Linked DNA regions of Lytechinus pictus. Each later gene encodes a partner of the first gene's protein in a complex. Links are inferred from orthologs where the notes say so. Each region holds a gene or a part of one and is shown in the gene's direction. Other genes may lie near its edges.

What was found.
Region 2: the proteins of probable cytosolic iron-sulfur protein assembly protein CIAO1 homolog (region 1) and cytosolic iron-sulfur assembly component 2B-like are in contact, whole or in part, in a crystal structure (PDB 6TBN), measured with the Drosophila melanogaster proteins. The link is inferred for Lytechinus pictus from reciprocal best matches to the Drosophila melanogaster genes Ciao1 and galla-2. Residues at the interface, in NP_610996.1 of Drosophila melanogaster: Arg16, Trp18, Arg60, Thr61, Arg63, Phe79, Glu105, Lys107, Arg123, Asp150, Lys152, Tyr168, Asn170, Ser195, Thr196, Trp198, Thr216, Ser248, Gly249, Gln250, His251, Ser252, Arg253, Tyr256, Gly272, Asp273, Asp274, Arg277, Glu299, Gln304; in NP_648416.1 of Drosophila melanogaster: Ser74, Pro106, Lys109, Thr111, Ala124, Lys127, Gln128, Asp131, Lys132, Glu133, Arg134, Ala136, Ala137, Glu140.

The regions. Positions count from the first base shown.
Region 1 is NC_087256.1:15,792,855-15,802,174, reverse strand, and holds the start of probable cytosolic iron-sulfur protein assembly protein CIAO1 homolog, read left to right. Parts: upstream 1-4,790; 5' UTR 4,791-4,903; coding exon of another isoform or gene 4,904-5,008; 5' UTR 5,009-5,201; coding exon 5,202-5,346; intron 5,347-6,556; coding exon 6,557-6,817; intron 6,818-7,668; coding exon 7,669-7,760; intron 7,761-8,532; coding exon 8,533-8,734; intron 8,735-9,320. Other genes in the region: spermatogenesis-associated protein 24-like, read right to left, coding at 4,904-5,008. UniProt on the Drosophila melanogaster protein: Essential component of the cytosolic iron-sulfur (Fe/S) protein assembly machinery. Required for the maturation of extramitochondrial Fe/S proteins.
Region 2 is NC_087246.1:39,216,024-39,225,268, forward strand, and holds the start of cytosolic iron-sulfur assembly component 2B-like, read left to right. Parts: upstream 1-5,471; 5' UTR 5,472-5,550; coding exon 5,551-5,677; intron 5,678-8,596; coding exon 8,597-8,676; intron 8,677-9,079; coding exon 9,080-9,205; intron 9,206-9,245. UniProt on the Drosophila melanogaster protein: Component of the crb-galla-Xpd (CGX) complex which is essential for proper mitotic chromosome segregation in early embryos. The CGX complex is also required for cell proliferation in developing wing disks.

The DNA.
Region 1 (9,320 bases):
TTACTTTATTATTAAAGCCAAATTTAAGCAAAATATTTATTATTACACTGTATATTAACGATTGTGACATCATAAAGTTTAAGCCATAGGGTGTCAAAAGCAATAAATAATGTCTCGACTCCTTAACTTAGTGTTTGACATATACATGTATATATATTTTTTAATATTCTTGAAGTTCATGTTCTACATGTATATAAACCACTCCATCACTGACATGATGCTACAGGGCATCGAATCTTTAGGTACCCGTCCTGACTCAGTCCGTACTAGCAGGGAGAAGCTCTGGATGAGACGACTTCGCACCACCCAACCTCATGGCCTGAACATCCAAGAGGGGAACGACTGATTTTTCTTTCCTATCCACTTTCAATTTATATATACATATAATTTTTCCCCTCAGCTCTTTTGAATAGTTACATTATAGTTTCTTCCTCTACTTTCCTCCCATATCTCATACAAGCTCAGCTCCAAATTTTCCTTCCTTATTCAGGCGATATAATAATTATTATATATATATATTTGTTTTTTCTCCACTCACCTCTTTTAGATTTACCACATTTGCTTATTTACATGTATACTTTGGTTTCTTCATAATACACCCCTTCTCTTCTATATTTGCTTTTACCTTTTTAGGCAATTTGCTTCCTCTTTTTCACATATACAGGTTTTTTTTTTTTTTTTTTCCTACTATATAGTCTTATGTTTTTTTCCTGTCACACCTAGCGGATTACAATATCAGTTACACCATATGTTTATTTATATTTTTTCATATACATTTCTTTTTTGGATATATTTTTATACATATCACTTATAGATACATATTTACACTTACCTTCTTCTCTTAGTTTGTTTAATGCTTTATCATATATACTTATATGTCTTTTGCACATTATCAGTTGTTCCCCATTCTTTTCCTTTTTTCCCCCACTCTTATGCACCAGTTTATTATGCCTTTCTTTGTAACCTGTTTGACCCACCTCTCACTAATTCTCTTGTTATTCATCCCATTATCACTGTTTTGTTCCAGATCCTGTTTGATATTGCCTGCCTCATTATCTTAATCCCTCTTGGCTTGAGGTCTTTTACTGGCCTTACTTATACTAACTTCCCTTTGTGTCTGCCTACTCCTTTTCTTTCATCCCCTTCACTAACCTGATTGGTCTTCTCTACTCACTAATGCCCCTTTTGTCTCCTTGTTTATAGTGTTGCTGTAGCTTGTTTGTGGTCTATATTATGGTTGTTCCACTTTATATGTTTGTCATTTTGCCTCCGACGAAGATTCTGCTAGGATCAAAAGCTTAGGCCCCTTTTTGACTTTCTGTATATAAACTTCCATAAAGTTATGAACTTTATGACCAACATTTATGATCATCGTAATTTTTAACATTGTTTTCTGTTAAATAGTATTTTTCCACTGCCTAAATATTGATTTTACACATCTTTCTATTTTGTTTATTATTGCCATGCTACTTTACCTACTTGGCATGTTTGTATCTGTGCAAGTTTCACATTTTTTTTTGTCCTTGGTTACTTTTCATACCCAATTTTCTCTCAAGTCTAAACATTAAATCACATTTGTATTTCTTGCATTATACCTGACGTTTGAAATAAATAAATTAGATTTTTCACAAGCAGCCTCTCATATTTTCCTTCTTAGTCTCATACAGTCAGACACGTTGACTTTGTTTACTTGATTCAAACCCTATTTTTACCTCAACAAATAACTTTTAAAGCATAATTTGCAAAATTATCACTTCAAATATTAAAGTATTCATAAAAATTCAGAATATTTCAATATGTCGAAATTACTGATTTACTTCCATTTTCATTTTCGAACAAGTGTCTCTCTCGTATATCAATGAAAGGTGTCCTTAAAAAGACTATGTGTTCTAGATAAGGAAAATAATGAAAATTTCGATTTTATCCAGTTATTATGTTTGTGGATCTAGTTTAACTTTAAAGTTGTTTCTCTTTTTTTTTCACCTCATAAAGTACATGTAAGCTCCGGATATCAACATCTCCATATGTACATCAATTCCACAATCTGTAATACATACATAATTTTTTGATCTCCATTTATGGAAAATTAAATAGGTCTATACGATTTTATGAAAAGTTGTCATTCCGTAATAGGTTGAATTAGGTTCAGGTGGCGATGAAGACAAAATTTTTTGACGATACTAACTTAGATCTAACTTAACGTGTCGTGACTAAATGATGTATATACATGTAGTCTAGGCCTATACCAGGTAGTCTAATCAAACAATTCAATGTCAAAGTTGGATTGGATGACAAATTTGCCTTCGTGAAACTGAAAGCGCTGATTTGTCGCCAATCTTCCTATCTCGGAAGAATGGTCCTTCGACGTCCCTACTATGCTCATCTCGTCATGAAACAGGCCCAGGCATGGTCATGCTGGCTCCCTACCACCTAGACCAAAAGCTTCGGTCTCTGTTATATTGGTTGTTCCGCTGAACTCCGTTGGCTCTTGCACTCACCAATTACAGAGACCGAAGTTCTAACTTAACTTGATCTGTAGTTACAGGGACTCAATGGCCATATGTTTATGAACTACATGTATTAAGTTCGGATAAACCAGAGCAGTGGGAGTTACTCGACAGCCGAAGTAAGTCACTCTTTTTTTTCCTTTTAAGTTTATTTTTTCCCGTTTTGGTGCATTTCAGGCCAAAATGGAATCTAAATTCTAATAATCTTCTTTTTAGGGCTAGACCAATGAAATAGGGTCTAAAGAAAAAAAAAGACAAAAATCAATGAGCCCCGTCGGGGGGATTTTGCATTGTTAACCCTGTAATGGTGGCTGCACAATCGCGAGCCATCTGCGTATGAGGAGAATTAAAAAAATTTATTAAATGTTAAGAAACAGACGGCTGCCAGCAGTCTACTGTACCGCCTAGACAGCTGGCAGCCGTCTGTTTCGAGGAGTTTTTTAACATTTTTTAATTTTTTATTTCTCCTCGTACATAGTCGGCTCGCGATCGTGCAGCCGCCATTAGGGCATTAACAATGCAAAATCCCCCCGATGGGGCTCACTCACACATATTGCGAGGTTAGTATTAGTATACTATAACCTCGCACCATGAACCGCGTTTGGCAGTGGATTTCTAACTAGTGGGTCGCGCGTGCTGCGATCCCACTTCTGGTGTCCACAACACACGACTTCTATGGCTTGATTTTTATGTGCGTGGCGGCATGTAATGAACCCTTGAGTGGACGGGGCTCATCGATTTTTGTCTTTATATCATAAAAATATATAAAAAGAACTGGACCAAAATAAAGATTATTAGGCCTTATCCTGAAATATGTCACCTCTCTTCTCGTGTGTGTCAGTGTGTGTGCGCTCGCTGTGTACAAAGTCAATGGGAGATGAAAGAATTCACCACCGCTTACAAAATGAACGGCAGTGAATGGAGTGGTGACTTAAACCAGGATAGACCTTATCGCAAATAGATTCACGAAAAGGATCATGGGATCAAAAAGGGAGCAATAGCGCCGCTATTGTCCGGATGCGGACATGCGAACGCAAGCAGCCGACAATAAAGTGGACGATTTCCATAGTATATCAAAATAGGATCAACGCCGCAGCCAACATTTTGCTAACTTCCAGTAAACGCCTCGTCATATTTGTTCCAGAGTCTAACATCACTTTTCTTCTTAATTATGGGTGGCAGAGAAAGATGTGCTGTCTATAGCTGTAAGAATTACCACAGATTTAATTTTTTGCTAAGTTTGAATGTACTTTCTTTTTTATAATGTGACATTTTATGTAAAAAAAAAACAATCCAAAAATCGGGTTTCCGCCGAATGTTAGATCTAATGTTACTGCTAATACTGCCAACAACTCTTCAGTCTATGTATTGGTGAGTGGAGCCAACACAGTTCAGCGGAACAACCAAAATACAGAGACTGAAGCTTTTGGTCTAACCCCCCCCCCCCCCTTTCTTGTAATGATCAAACTCAAAAGTCCGATTTGCAAAGGACTATATTTCCCCCAAAATAACAAAAACTAGCTAAATTTATTAGTTATGGAAATATATACATGTATCATGGCCTACATTATGATTCTCATCAATATTCTTTAATGGAAAAATAGCCTCAGGCTCTCTTCGGATCGCCGATCGGGGGCGAAAGTTTCAGGGTTTTTTGCGGTACACGCAGATGAATAGGAAGGACTCCCTGGCTTCATGGAGAGTAAGCCTACGTTAGTAAATGATTTTTACTCTCAAGAAGCCGCCTGGCTACTATACATTACCCCCGGGAATAATACATGTACCCCGGAGAAGTTAAAATGACATCCGTTTTTGGTCGTCCTGCCGTGCAAAAAGACGACCTGAAATTGATGACAACCAGCCCCCATATAAAAAATAACTTGGCGCCATCCCACCCAGATAAAATGCATCAGAGTGCAACCAAAAAAATGTTTAGAGGTGATATGTCAGTGTGGCTTGCCGTAAATGCATTTTCTCTCAATGCCGACGGTGGCGGGCGGTGTGCAAAGAAGATCATGCCTCGTCGTAGGACATGTCTGGTCCTCTGGAGGTGTCTTTCCAAGGACCATTCTTCGTAATCGCCCAAATCGGCTTTGTTAAACAGTTGAGCGATATCTCGTTCTTACGTAGAATGGTTCTACGAAAGACCCTTTCATGCAACAGGCCCCAGCAGAACAACCAATTTAACAGAGACCGAAGCTTGTTTTGATCTACACTACCACCTTGCTCTCGCTCTCGGCCCTGGCCTGACTCATCACGCCACCGCACCGGCCCGCGGGGAGCATGAGCATCCGTCGCAGACGTAGCGGCGCGCGCTCGGCTTGGAATGGATCTCTTTCGCCCTCTTTCGCTCTCCTTTGTATTTTTGATTGAAGTCGGTTGGTTATTTAACTCACATTTGAATATTTACGGTCCACTAGTTTCTTCTGTGCAGTCAAAACATCCTTAAGCTGGTTAAAGACGATTTGCAGAGATGATCCTGAAATGTTATGTTCTGTCATTTCCAAATTTAATCTTCCCGGATTTTCAATTTTTTATAAATGTCGCGAGATGGCGCTACACACCGGAAAGTTTGTGATGTGCATATGCAACCAGCCGAAATAGAAGAAAAACAACTCCCAATTATTGATAACTTTAACGATCTATTTATTCTCCCTAAAGGATCAGGAGTGGAAAGGACCTGTAAAACAGTCAATGAACCAAATGGATGGAAATTTGCAGCCGATTTCAACATTGTCTGGTCATCACGACCGCGTTTGGTGCGTTTCGTGGAATCCGACCGGGACACTTCTGGCGAGCTGTGGAGGTGACAAGACGGTCAGAATCTGGGGCAAAGAAGGTAGATAATTCCCGATCAAAGAATTGAATGCTAAGTAGATCTATAGGGAATGATTCTTGCTAATAATGTGTGCACTTGTGCCTTGTTTACAAAGATTTTTGAAATGGCGGAGCCTAACAAGTTTAACATTAGAACATGGTTAAAGTTAAAACTTAAAAACTTAAAGTTAGTCTGACTTCGTTAGGCGCTCACGTGCGTCATTTAGCCTTAAATTAAACGAAAGTTAGATCTAACGTTGTCGTTAGATCTAACGTTAACAAGTTCGATATCTAAGTTGGGTCTAATGTTAGGGCGGGCCTAGACTCAAGTAGATTGTAGACCCCTACGTCTACTCGTTATGAAAATTATTTACACCAATAACTTTCTTGCTCTTTGTAATATATAGACTCCTAATTTACTTTTTTTTTAAAATCTTTTTGTACCGGTACCGTAAGGGCACTAGTATTCAACCCGTTTGGAGAGTTTCCTAAAATATATAGAAATATAGAATTTACCTGAATTTCAGACCCGTCTTATTTCCAAGAGCAAATGCTGGTGATTCTTTTTCCGTTATTTTTTTCTTCAACCAGTTGACTGTGTGCGCGGGCGATCGAATTATACGGCGACGAATTTTGGTACTAGTATTCAACCCGTCGGTACTAGTATTCAACCTAGCGATGAAAGATGGCCCTGTCTCTCAATCTGCCCTTGTCCCATCCGACTATGGACTAGACCATTTGAGATGAGACCAAACGGGGAATTAATCAAAGCCAGAGACTTACATAGATCTACATCTAATTTAGCAATCTAAACCCTTTTGAGATTTGCTATCAATCCTCACTAGGTTGAATACTAGTACCATTCAGTGCAAAAGGCCATCGCCGCATAATTCGATCCTCCGCGCATACAGTCGACAGATTGACAAAGAAAATATCGACAACAGATTACCCTGGAAATAACAAAGGTATGAAAGTAAGATAAATTCCCTATTTCTAAATATTTTGGGGAATATGTCAAAATCTTTGAATTATGCCGGGTTGAATACTAGTACCCATACGGTAGTGTTTTTTTTCTTCTTTTGCATTAAGTGACGAGACTCTATTTGCATTAAAAAAATACAGAAAATCTGCTGGAAGCTGTTTTTATCTGTCTTATACTGAGAGTTCTAGTTCATTACTCCATTAAACACTTTATTATCATGACAATAATGATTATTGTGTTCTCTCACAAGGTGATAATTGGGTCTGTAAGAAGATCCTCCAGGATGGCCACACAAGGACCATCCGACGTGTTGCCTGGTCACCCTGCGGTCAGCTGCTGGCCTCGGCAGGCTTTGATGCCCAGACCTGCATCTGGGATCGTCGCAGCGGAGAGTTTGAGTGCAGCGCCACCCTAGAGGGCCATGAGAATGAGGTGAAGAGTGTTGCTTGGTCACAGTCTGGCTCACTCTTATCAACGTGCAGCAGGGACAAAAGTGTTTGGATCTGGGAAGGTAAGCATTGACAGTACAACACACATCATCAAGGGCATGTGTTAGAATAAAACGCCAGAGCCCCATAATTATTATTTGGTCTGTTTCAGATGTAACAAGTGTAATTATTCTCATGTCCAAGCAAAATCATGTGTATTATGGGATTATGTTTTGTGAGATAGTGACACTGGCAGTTCCAGGGGGGGTGCAAAGCCGGCCGGTGCCCCCTTTTGAGAAGCACAATTAAAATTTGTAATGTGAAAATGCTGTTAAAACAGAAGTGTACCCCCGCCCTTTGAAAGTGAAGACCTTTTACTTTTTTTTCTTTTTTTTTTTGCTTGTCAAACTCTTCTTTTTTTTCTTTCTTTTTTTCAGCTTGTCAAATTTTTCCTCTGGAAAATATGCCCCCCCCCCTTTTGGAAAATCCTGGATCCACCCCTGGATAGTGATGTTTGATCCTTGTTATTTGATGAACCATCCTCATTGCAAAACCATGACTGGTCAATAGAACTTGTCAAATTATCTTGTTAGCTACTGATGAATGGCCATGTGATTGATTTCAGCCAATCGTTTGATGAGGATCCATATTACCATTCGATGAATTATTATATCAATTATGATTTTTAAATGCCTACTTCTATAGGTATTGTTCCAAGGTGTAGAAAAATTGGATCATACATGTAGATTATTTGATAGACTATTAAGAAAAGCATACTTACTGCAATAGCCTTCTTGTGGATGTTCATAAATCCTTCTGAATTAACTGTTCTGATTAACTTTTGAAAAAGCTTGGACATATGATCGGGGGAGCTATCGATATGGTATTATTTTGTTTTGTGTTTTTATTTTATATTTGAATGACTAATTTGCAGTTGACCAAGAAGACGATGATTACCAATGTGCCAGTGTACTCAGCATTCATACTCAAGATGTGAAGCATATCGCCTGGCAGCCTGGACGTGAGGTACGATATATGCATTCTGAATAATCAATACACCTGTTCATAACTATCAGACTGCATTTTTCCCTTAGATATGTAACTTGTTATAATTTTAAGATACCATAATTAGTATTGACACTCTTATGGAATAGAAAATGAATAATCATACAGGTATATATAAGAAAATATCCCGTAAACTCATACAAGATTGCATCATGAAAGGATATGTAAGTCATTGAGTCAATAATTGCCTTTCTTAAACAATGATAGTAATTATGTAGTTTTATTTCTATTGAGTTACAATTTAGTATAATTTGAATTTTCTTCACCTTTAATGTGTTCTGTCTCTCAACAGTATCAGGGTTCCACAGTCATGAAAAATCGTGGAAAAATTTGTGGTCATGGAAAGTCAGGGACTTTGGGAAATTTGTGAAAAGTCATGGAATTGCATTTACCTCTTGGCTATGGCAGTTTTCCAGTTTGTCGTGTTTCGCAACTCTCATACTATGCTATTATAATTGGTGCTCATGATTTCCATTTTTCCCAGTTTTGTGACATCCCAAAATCTACATTACTCCCGGGACGTCACAGGAAGTCATGGAAAGCAGCAATTTAGTCATGGAAAAGTCATGGAATTCTGTTTTCAAATTTCTGTGGAAACCCTGAGTATACATAGTTATTCTTTTATTTCTCTCTTACCTTATTCCCTCAAATTTTTGTTCTTCCCTGTCCTCTTCTCACAATGCTTTGTTTTTCACTTTCTCTCCATCTGTTCATGTTTATCTTTACCACATAGATCTTGGCATCCTGTAGCTATGACAACACTATCCGGTTGTTCCACGAGGAAGACGATGACTGGAGCAGCTTTGAGACCCTCGACGGTCACGAGTCGACGGTATGGGCCATCAGCTTCGATAAGACCGGTTCCAGGCTGGCTTCTTGCAGCGATGACAAGACCGTCAAGATCTGGCAGGAATATCAGCCAGGAAATCCTGAAGGTATATATACAAACATGGCCTAGCAACATAAGAGATAAGATTGATTGAACAATTATGGATAACTTTAATTCTATGGTCAATACAAGTGGTTGCAATATTAGTCGTATCTCTTTATATCACAGGGCCCAGCTCTATCCTTGTGGTTGCCTACATGCTTTTCCTGTTACAGGAAAGGCCTAATTCGCACAAATTGTAATTTAGGAAAGTGTAAAAAGCAAAAACAATGAAAAGTTGTGAGAAAGATCATGGGAACTGTGTTTTGCTTTTCATGGCAAAGAGCAAGCTGTGTGCTAACTGTTATGTCTGATCTCTTTGCTTGTTAATAGCAAGACAGAATGAAAACTAATTATGATTTGTGTGGGCATTTATTGAACCAAATTCAGACCTAAATTTTACATTTGCATTCAATCAAGGAAGAAATCTACTTACCAATATCTCTGTTCCCAGATAATGTAATAGTAGTTGTCTTCATAACTTGGACAACTGTGAAAAGCTCTTGCAGGCAATTCAAAGTAATCCCCCACTCTAACATCCTGAGTGCCTGACTAGAAGGAAAGGATGTCCTATTCATAAAGTCTTTGGTGTG
Region 2 (9,245 bases), on another chromosome or scaffold:
ATTGGTTATAGCAGTTACCATCGTAGTTAACTACGATGGTAACGGCTATATATAACCAATCATTATTACCATACTTGTAACTCATGATGAAACGTGCCCCAGTTTATCATGTTTAATACGTTTCCTGTCCCCTCTATTCTCCAGCATTTCTTGCTCTGTTTTTCCATTTAATAATTTTCCCACTCACGTTATTTTGGTGCCGCCTTTCTCCTACATATATTTCCTTCTTCTTTTCCCACTTGTTATCTGTCTCCTGGTTTCCATAAATCTCGTCTTATTTCTCTTCCACCCCTTTGTTCCTACTTCCCACCATTCGTGCTCTCTTACCCCCCCTCTAAATTATCTCTTCATATGTGCCCCTCCATTTCTTTCTCATCTCTTTTCAACCCCCTTCTCATCACTCTTTCTCTCTCTCGATCTCCATCTCATTTGAATTTTGCCAATTCCAAATCCCTTTCATTTTAGCTCTGTACAAATACTATACAAATGAAAGACATGAAGGCATTTTATGGTTAGTTGTGAATTTTATTAATAGCCAAAAAAAATATCACATTATCAGAGGATTTAGCCTTACTTTTTTTCTTAAGCGTATGTTAATACTTTGAATCGAACGAAAAATGTTTTTTGTATGCAGGGGCAGCGATCCTGGGGGGCACAGTTCCCCCTACTTTTTAAAGCACTGAAAAGTGCCTTTAATTTTATGTAAGAAAAATGCCCCCTCACGAACGTGTACTGTGTCCCTTTCACCTGACGAGAACCTGTTTTAGGTGTTACCAAGTGCTCTTCCTTGTATGCAAATTTTTACCAAAAATGCCCCCCGAACGTGTTCTGTGCCCTTTCATCTGAGGGCCCGTTTTAAGTGTTAAAAAGTACCCCCTCGCCTTCTTGTAAGTGCCCTTTCTCTAATAACTGCCCCCTTTTATCCAAGAAAAGTGCTCCTAAAGAATGACGAGTGCCCTTTGAAACAAGAAAACAATAAGGAAATCCTTTGTGCATTAAGTTTAATAATTCATGTGAGTGGGGGTAGATAAGCAGTTTCGTACACTACAGATGGAGGGGGGGGGGGCTTGAAGGACTCTTGCCCCCCCCCCCAAAAAAAAGGGTGAAATATATCATTCTGAATATTTTGTCGAAATCTATCACAAAATTGGATTTTCTTTTTAAAAATGTCAAAATTTTGCTCTCTCGCAACTTCTTTAAAATTTCACATAATACAGCATTTTCCCTGTGCCCCCCCCCACTTTCAACTTCACTTCGCCGCTCCTATTTGTATGTTTATAGCTTTTCCTTTTGCAACCAGTTTTAATGAAAATCGACAGGAAATTTCATACTTCATGAATTTGGGGTTGTGATGATAATTAAAAAAAAAAACCTTTTCCATCTTTATCAAGTGCTTCCTAAGCTAAGTCACTCTTCAATTTGTTGGGTTTCTTGAATGAAAACATCTGTTACACCAGTCCTGCAGATTGAAAAAATAGAGAAAGAAAATCAATGAATTTAAATTAAAATTGTCATGATTTGTAAAACATAAATGTTTGAAGAAAAGTAAGACTATACATACCGGTATATAAATTTCTTCATCACATAACATAGGAAATCTTACTTCTACTAATTATAAACTTGTACTTCTACAAAGCATATCACTTAAACCTGTTCTATGCAGTTTGCATACCACTCTCCATTATAACTACATGTACTATATAAAAAAAATGTCAGAGATTTCCCATAAATATGAATATATGAATTAACATATAAATTATATATAATAGTCAGAATTAAAGATGATGTTTTGTTGCACAGAATATTTTGATCTGCGAATAAAAACGACACCTATCTATAACCTAAAAACAGAATTGAAATGTTTTTTTCAAAGGCAGGTCTATTTGTTGCCTAAAAATATTGTGAAAACCCCCCATTATTAAAAATAATCACTTATTAACTCACTCATATAACTGCTGTAGGTTGTATTTCTCTTTGTGGTCCTATCACTGTTCTATTAGGCCTACTTCACCAATTGTTTATCATCATCAATCACCTCCATGGAAATTGTAAAACTGCATCATCCTATTGGACAAAATGTAAAATAACAAGATTTAAAAAAAATCGTAAATCTACAAATATGAAATATGAATATCACACTAAAGAATGCATGAAATGAATTTTGTAAAATATGAAAAATAAATATTGCTTTGTGTAGTACGGGGTTCTGACAATATCTCATTTCTAGTACTCTTAACACAGAGGCAGCCCAGCAGACATGTTGTCAGGTTGATAACTTACTGGCCAACTCCCAGATTTTAATGACTCAAAGCCTTGTTGCATTCTTTGTAACATTCCATGCAAATTACTTAAGGCACATCAATATTCATATAAATGTAAATCAATATAACAAAGTATAACTGAATATTCAAATATACAAACAAAGGATATATATTGACCATTCAAACTATATGCAAATTATTATTTAAGCTTGAGTGCATCAACTTAACATTATAACCAATCAGAAGGAGAGTGAGAGAGAGAGAGAGGAGTGAAGAAAGCTGTATGAAGGATGGTGGAGTGAATTAATACCAAACAACCTTGTGTACAGAGTGTACAGCAGTTAATGTGTAAGAGAGAGCTATACATGAAGAATAGGAAGTTAGGATGAAAAGGGTGAATATAAATGAGGGATGTTCTATTAGAAAAAGGGGATGATTCCTGGATAAGAGTGGAAAGAAATATAAGTACAAAATCAATCCCTACACTTTGTTTATAAACAAATAGGAAATAAAAAGGCCATTTAATTACTAGTAGATCAAGGACATGACCTTATTTTATAAATTTGTCCAAGGTACATAACTTTTGGCATTGGTTCTATTTTAGACTCGAGAGCCTGTATATTAAGAAGTGTATATTCATTACAGATCCTACCTCTTTGTAGCTCAGATTATTTTTATTTAATGTAAACATGGTTAACATTCAATGCATATGCAATGTATCTGTAATTTTGTATGGGTTAGTTTAAGTTTTATACCTGGATGAGAATCTGCAAAATGATGCATGCACTTATGATCATCATCTTGAACCATATAGGTAGACCTCTACTGTTTTTCTTGTTCTTCAAACTCAACCTGTTTGTGAAAGAGAGAGAACAATAATAAGAAATGATCTTTTTCATGGCCGTATGTATAGGGGGAGGGGTTTGGGTAAGAGCTGAAATCAGAAATGTGAAAACCTTCATCAAAAAGAGAATTGCATGACATCCTTCAATTTTACTTTAGAAAATGCACAAAACGGCCCTAGGTAATATTGGTCGCTTCTGGCCCTCGCTTTCTGAATTTTAGGTTTCTCTAAATTTTTTCACATGTCTGCCCCCCCCCCCCAAAAAAAAAAATCTGGATCTTTTTATTTCCGAATCTTATTTCATTAGACTTTAACATAATTTCATAATCTCATGCACTAGGTCTAGATCTATTTGTAAGAAAGTATAGATCTAGTCCAACGAGACTCAATGCTGTGCGACAGCATTCATGTATCTAAATTAGGTCTAGATCTAGACTAACGATGGACTCTCGATCTATCTAGACCTAGAAAGTAAAGCTTCGGTTCTAAACCCTATATCGGTTTAGAAATTTTTGATGTCTGACTTTGACTTTTATTCCTGGCTAAGACTTCATTGCCATTATTGACCGAGAGTAGATCTAGATCTAGTCCGACTCCTTGGTCCACTGACAGTCATACTCGTACATGTAAATGGAGTCGTTTAGGCCCAGACCTAGATCTAGGCCTAAATTACAGACCTAGATCATAAGCCCTGGGGGCAAGTATCGAGGGTTGGGAAAGTATAAGTTAGACTAGATTTTAATTAGGTAGGCCTAGCTCTTGATAAAATGATAGCATCGATGAATAAATAAAAGTAAAGTAGCCTAGATCTAAGTATAAACATGAAGTAAGTAGGGCCTAGGATTAAGAAGATCTAGGTCATAGATCTATTGATAATAAGACAAACATGCAGAGCAGCATGTTATTTCTAAGACCGAGTCTATAAATTTATGAATAACAATTAACCCAGAGAGCTCCCGCCCGCGCAGCGGGCGGGAGCCCAGAAGCTTACCGTGTATTTTACCATTGTCACCGGACTAGGGTGATTTATGGTCTAAATATTTCTCCAAATGAATTGTGAAAACGGAAAGTATACAATTACCACGATTATATGGATGAAGGTCTAACGAGTGACAGATTCCTGACATCTGGGCACAGTCTGGTACCTCAAAAAAACGAAAAGTTCTCTCCTTCTACCCAGTCTCGATCGGCCATTTTGTTACGATTTTTAACAAAAATGGCCGATCGAGACGGGGTAGAAGGAGAGAACTTTTCGTTTTTTTGAGGTTCCAGACTGTGCCCAGATGTCAGGAATCTGCCACTCGTTAGACCTTCATCCATATAATCGTGGTAATTGTATACTTTCTGTTTTCACAATTCATTTGGAGAAATATTTAGACCATAAATCACCCTAGTCCGGTGACAATGGTAAAATACACGGTAAGCTTCTGGGCTCCCGCCCGCTGCGCGGGCGGGAGCTCTCTGGGTTAAATAACAATAAGAGTTAAAATGGTGGGGGCTAAATGCAGAAGCCTGAAGTTATGCAAAATAAATTTGATATCTGAAAGTGAGGACTGACACAATGTCAATGACAGGCGTATCTTCATCCACACTCCGCTTCACAGTTTATTCCTGACTGAGTCTCGATCTACTGAAGACAGATGCAGATCTCCCTCTAGATCTAACGTTACAGTGTACAAAAAGAAGCCTCATTCTTCTTGTTTTAATCAATCGTGGGTTGGTCCTTGTTGGAGGTGAACCAAACCAGCCCGATTATCTCTCGATTCCCAGCCGGCTAGGAGCCCGTACAAAATACACTGCAAGCAACATACTGGCTGCACTGTGCGACGATGACAATCTAACTTCAATTTCAAAGACCAAATTCTGCTTTCCTTTAACAGAAGAATGATAGCAAACTCTCTAATTTGTTAAAGAAATAACCTAAGATCACAAAATACAGTGTGAAATGTGTAAATAGTCCACTGAATTCATGTGGTTATATCAATTTATACGTACTCACCGGAGTGTTCGTAGGTCCATTTTGTGTGTGGAAAGAAAAGTTTCAGAATGAATAAATTAGATGACGTAATGAGGTCAAATGAATAATTATTTCTGTAACACGATACCACTAGTATCGATGACAAGGAATCGGGGAAATCGCGTATTAATGACGCTCTTAGCCAATGAAAAGGCCGGATTATGAATATCTTCATGCTCATGAATGTCAATGAGGGCTTATTTTTGTCTTCAAATGATCGCGGTAGGCGGAGCCTAATCTCATTTGTTTTGTGCTGAACGCGCACGCAGCTTTCGGTCTAGTAATATATTATAAGGTCTTTGCTCTGTACCGGCCGCGTACGTACCGGCCTGACGTACTACCGCACCACCGGCCGTGCATACCGGGCCGGACGGCGAATATTCGGGTACGTGGGTCGTCGAGGTGTCGTTCCTTCTTCAAACCTTAAGATGTCGGGGCGTGAACAACTGGATAATGTCAACCCCACGATTCATGGAAAGCTTGATAAAAGACACATTCTACCAGCCGAAGAAGATGATGATATCGACGATGCCATCGACACAAGAGAAGTGTTTGATATCCTTTAATTATTTCAATAATATTATGATCAGTAGAGGCGTGGCGCACGGCCAATATTAACCCAGAGAGCTCCCGTCCGCGCGGGCGGGAGCTCTCTGGGTTAGGCCAATATGGGAGACTCTATTACTAGAGAGACAATCTCCCACATTGGAGACTTGCTTTGCAAAGGACAAAAGAAACAACAACAACAAAAGCATAATTTTTTCCACCCAAAATGTTGTCTCACTGAGGTCAGAAGCCCATTTGTTTTGTGTGTGATTGACAACAAATATCCTTATCAAAACAAAAGTAGACGGTGAATTTTTAAAGTAGATGGTGAAAAGGGGTAATTTTTCATGAGGAATCTGCTTATCACATTTTTATTTGCCGCCAAGTTAATCCTTTTGCAGCAAATGTAAACAAAGGAAATTGGACTCCAAAACTGGAGACTGTCTCTGAAATTGGCTGCCCTGAAATTGGATACCCAAATTCTTTACAAAAGTCTCTGATATTATTGGAGATAATCTCCCACATTGGAGACAGTCTCCAATATTGGCTGTGCGCCTCTACTGATGATGGGCATCCATCTAGTCTTGAATTTAAACTTTAAAGGTCAAGTCCACCTCAGAAAAATGTTGATTTGAATCAATAGAGAAAATCAGACAAGCACAATGCTGAAAATTTCATCAAAATCGGATGTAAAATAAGAAAGTTATGACATTTCAAAGTTTTGCTTATTTTTTACCATGTTTACAAAATAGTTAGGCCTAGGCCTATATGAACGAGCCAGTTACATCCAAATGAGAGAGTCGATGTTGTCACTCACTATTTCTTTTGTTTTTTATTGTTTGAATTATACAATATTTCAATTTTTACGAATTTGACGATTAGGACCTTGCCTGAAGCACAAAATGTTAAAATAATGGAATTCCACGTGTTCAGGGAGGAATGAAACTTAATTTCACATGACAATGACGAGAAAATAAAAATATTTCATATAATAAAATACAAAAGAAATAGTGAGTGATGTCATCAGTTCCTCATTTGCATACCGACGGAGATGTGCATATAACTGTTTTGTAAAATGAAGCAAAACTTTAAAATGCCATAACTTTCTTATTTTACCGTGACATCCAATTTTGATGAAATTTTCAGTGTTATGCTTGTTAAATTTTTCTCTTTTTATTCAAATCAAGTTTTTGTTGGGGTGGACATGTCCTTTAAAGAAGAAGAAGATGTTTTATTAATATTTAGACATATATGGTTGTGGATCGTATTACCAAACACTTCATGAATTCAATCATATCAAACACATTATTCTCGTGTAATTCACCGAACTTTTTACCATAAATCACTTGTTCACTGCAACCATCCTGCCTGTGGGGAATCTACAGGTAGAACTATGGTATGCCAATGCTGTACACAGCACACAATTTAAAAAATCATTAAATTTTCACTTTTGTGACCAAAATTACTAATTTCCATACAGTTGCAATTTATTTTTCATTAGTAACCAGGGAATAATTTTTGTATTCACCTGGGGCCTGTTTCTCAACACCTGGACAAGTTAGTCATATCTTTATCCACCAACCACGGAGATAGTTCCAATCTTACTAAACCTGTTTCTCGAAAGGCTTCCTAACTAGAATACCTTGATATCAGATATTCAGATCAGATATTCAAAATTTATTGTCATGCTCAAAATAAAAATTACATTGGCACAAAAATCATATTCCGGCTGTTGGTATACAAAGAACAATATATAACATATAATAAATAATTACAAAAATAATGGCATTAAATAATATACAAAGCAAAAATTACACAAAGACCTAATACTAACCCAGAACAATATGATACCCTGCAAGGGCAGCTGCACTGAAAACTTTACCTGGTGCCGAGGGGGGAAATGCCTCGAGCACGGTGCCAGTCCAACACATCCATGGGCCCCGGTTCGACATTGAAACAATCACAACACATCACACTACTATCGGTAAAAAGAGCAGACGAGACGTAGCCTTAGTCACAAAATAGCATATTTTTCAAAAAGAAAAATTATGACAAAATTGCAAATATTTCGATGAATTGGGAAATACATCTTTTCAAAATAATAGCACATGTAAATTATGCATCATACATATTTAGACCATGAAGGTTGGAGCATTCAATTGCTGAGAAAATTAAATTATGAATAAATAATTTCATGACTAGAAAATCACATGTGGACGTCACTAGCATACCTACGGGGGGGGGGGGCAGAGGGGGCAGTCTGCCCCCCCTGACGAGCTTGAAGACCTTTATTGCCCCCCCCCCCCCTGACGAGCTTGAAGACCCTTTTTTTTTTTTTTTTTTTTTTTTTGCTTGTCAAATTTTTTTCTGGTACGAAATCCTTCATTTGTGATTGAAGACCTTTTTTTTTTTTTTTTTTTGCTTGTCAAATTTTTTGGCGGACGGTTTTGCCCCCCCTGTGAAAAATCCCAGGTACGCCACTGGTGGACGTTGAGATGGGTACCCCTGGGACATCAAATTTTAATAGTTTACGAAAGTAAACCATAACGGTGGTCTTTGTAAAATGATGATAATTATAAGCCCTTCTACGATTCCAAATATCATCAAAAATAAATCTTTGAAACTGAAACATACGATTTGACAAATTCTATGCATAGATTAGAGATCAACATTTTCCTGAGGTGGACTTGACCTTCAAGAACAATTTCAGAGTCAAATTGGCTGATGAGTTAAACCTCTACTTTGAGATATTGATGTCACAATTGGCCATCTGTATTTAAACAACAACTTTAGACCAGAGTTTAAATAAAATCTGACTTCAGAATATGGGCCATTGGGTTTATTTCCTGTTTATTTGTATATTAGAGAAACCTTGAAGAGTACTCAGGTTTTGTGATCTATGTCAAATTTCCTTGACTAGATGTTAACATTTGATCAGAAACATCAATGACCCTGAGCATCCTCTGACATTGGAAGAGTTGAATGTTGTGCAGCAAGCTGAATTAGAGGTATGTCTGAATTCTTTTCTGACTTGTGTTATGATGTCACAACTCACAGTGATTTCATGATTATGTTACGAGTCATGCAGTATGAATTTACAACTTTGTCTAGTTTATTTAGATTATTTGTACTAACTTGTCGTAATTTGCATTTACTCTTTTATAGACTATGATTGGTCCTCATATAATAACCACCTTTCAACCCTCCCTCAGAAATTATCTTTCTGTTTTAACATTTTTTTCAACACCTAATATCCCACTTGCTTTGTATTTCTATGTCAGAATGTTGCCAAGGATTGTTGCACCATGTCTGGATGAGCCTTGATGTGTGTGTATATGTTCAATCATAAAATAATAAAGGTACAGAATGTACAGGTTTGTTCTCTTCTGATCATTTGTTTTTTTTTGTCAGGTTGATGATCCTGGTAATGTAGTGAAAGTGACCTTCACCCCCACCATTCCTCATTGCAGTATGGCTACATTGATTGGACTTGCCATTAGAGTGAAGCTTATCAGGTCATTGCCTTCTAGATTTAAGGTAAGGAAGAACACGTATGGGCTGCGACGCAACAAAATGG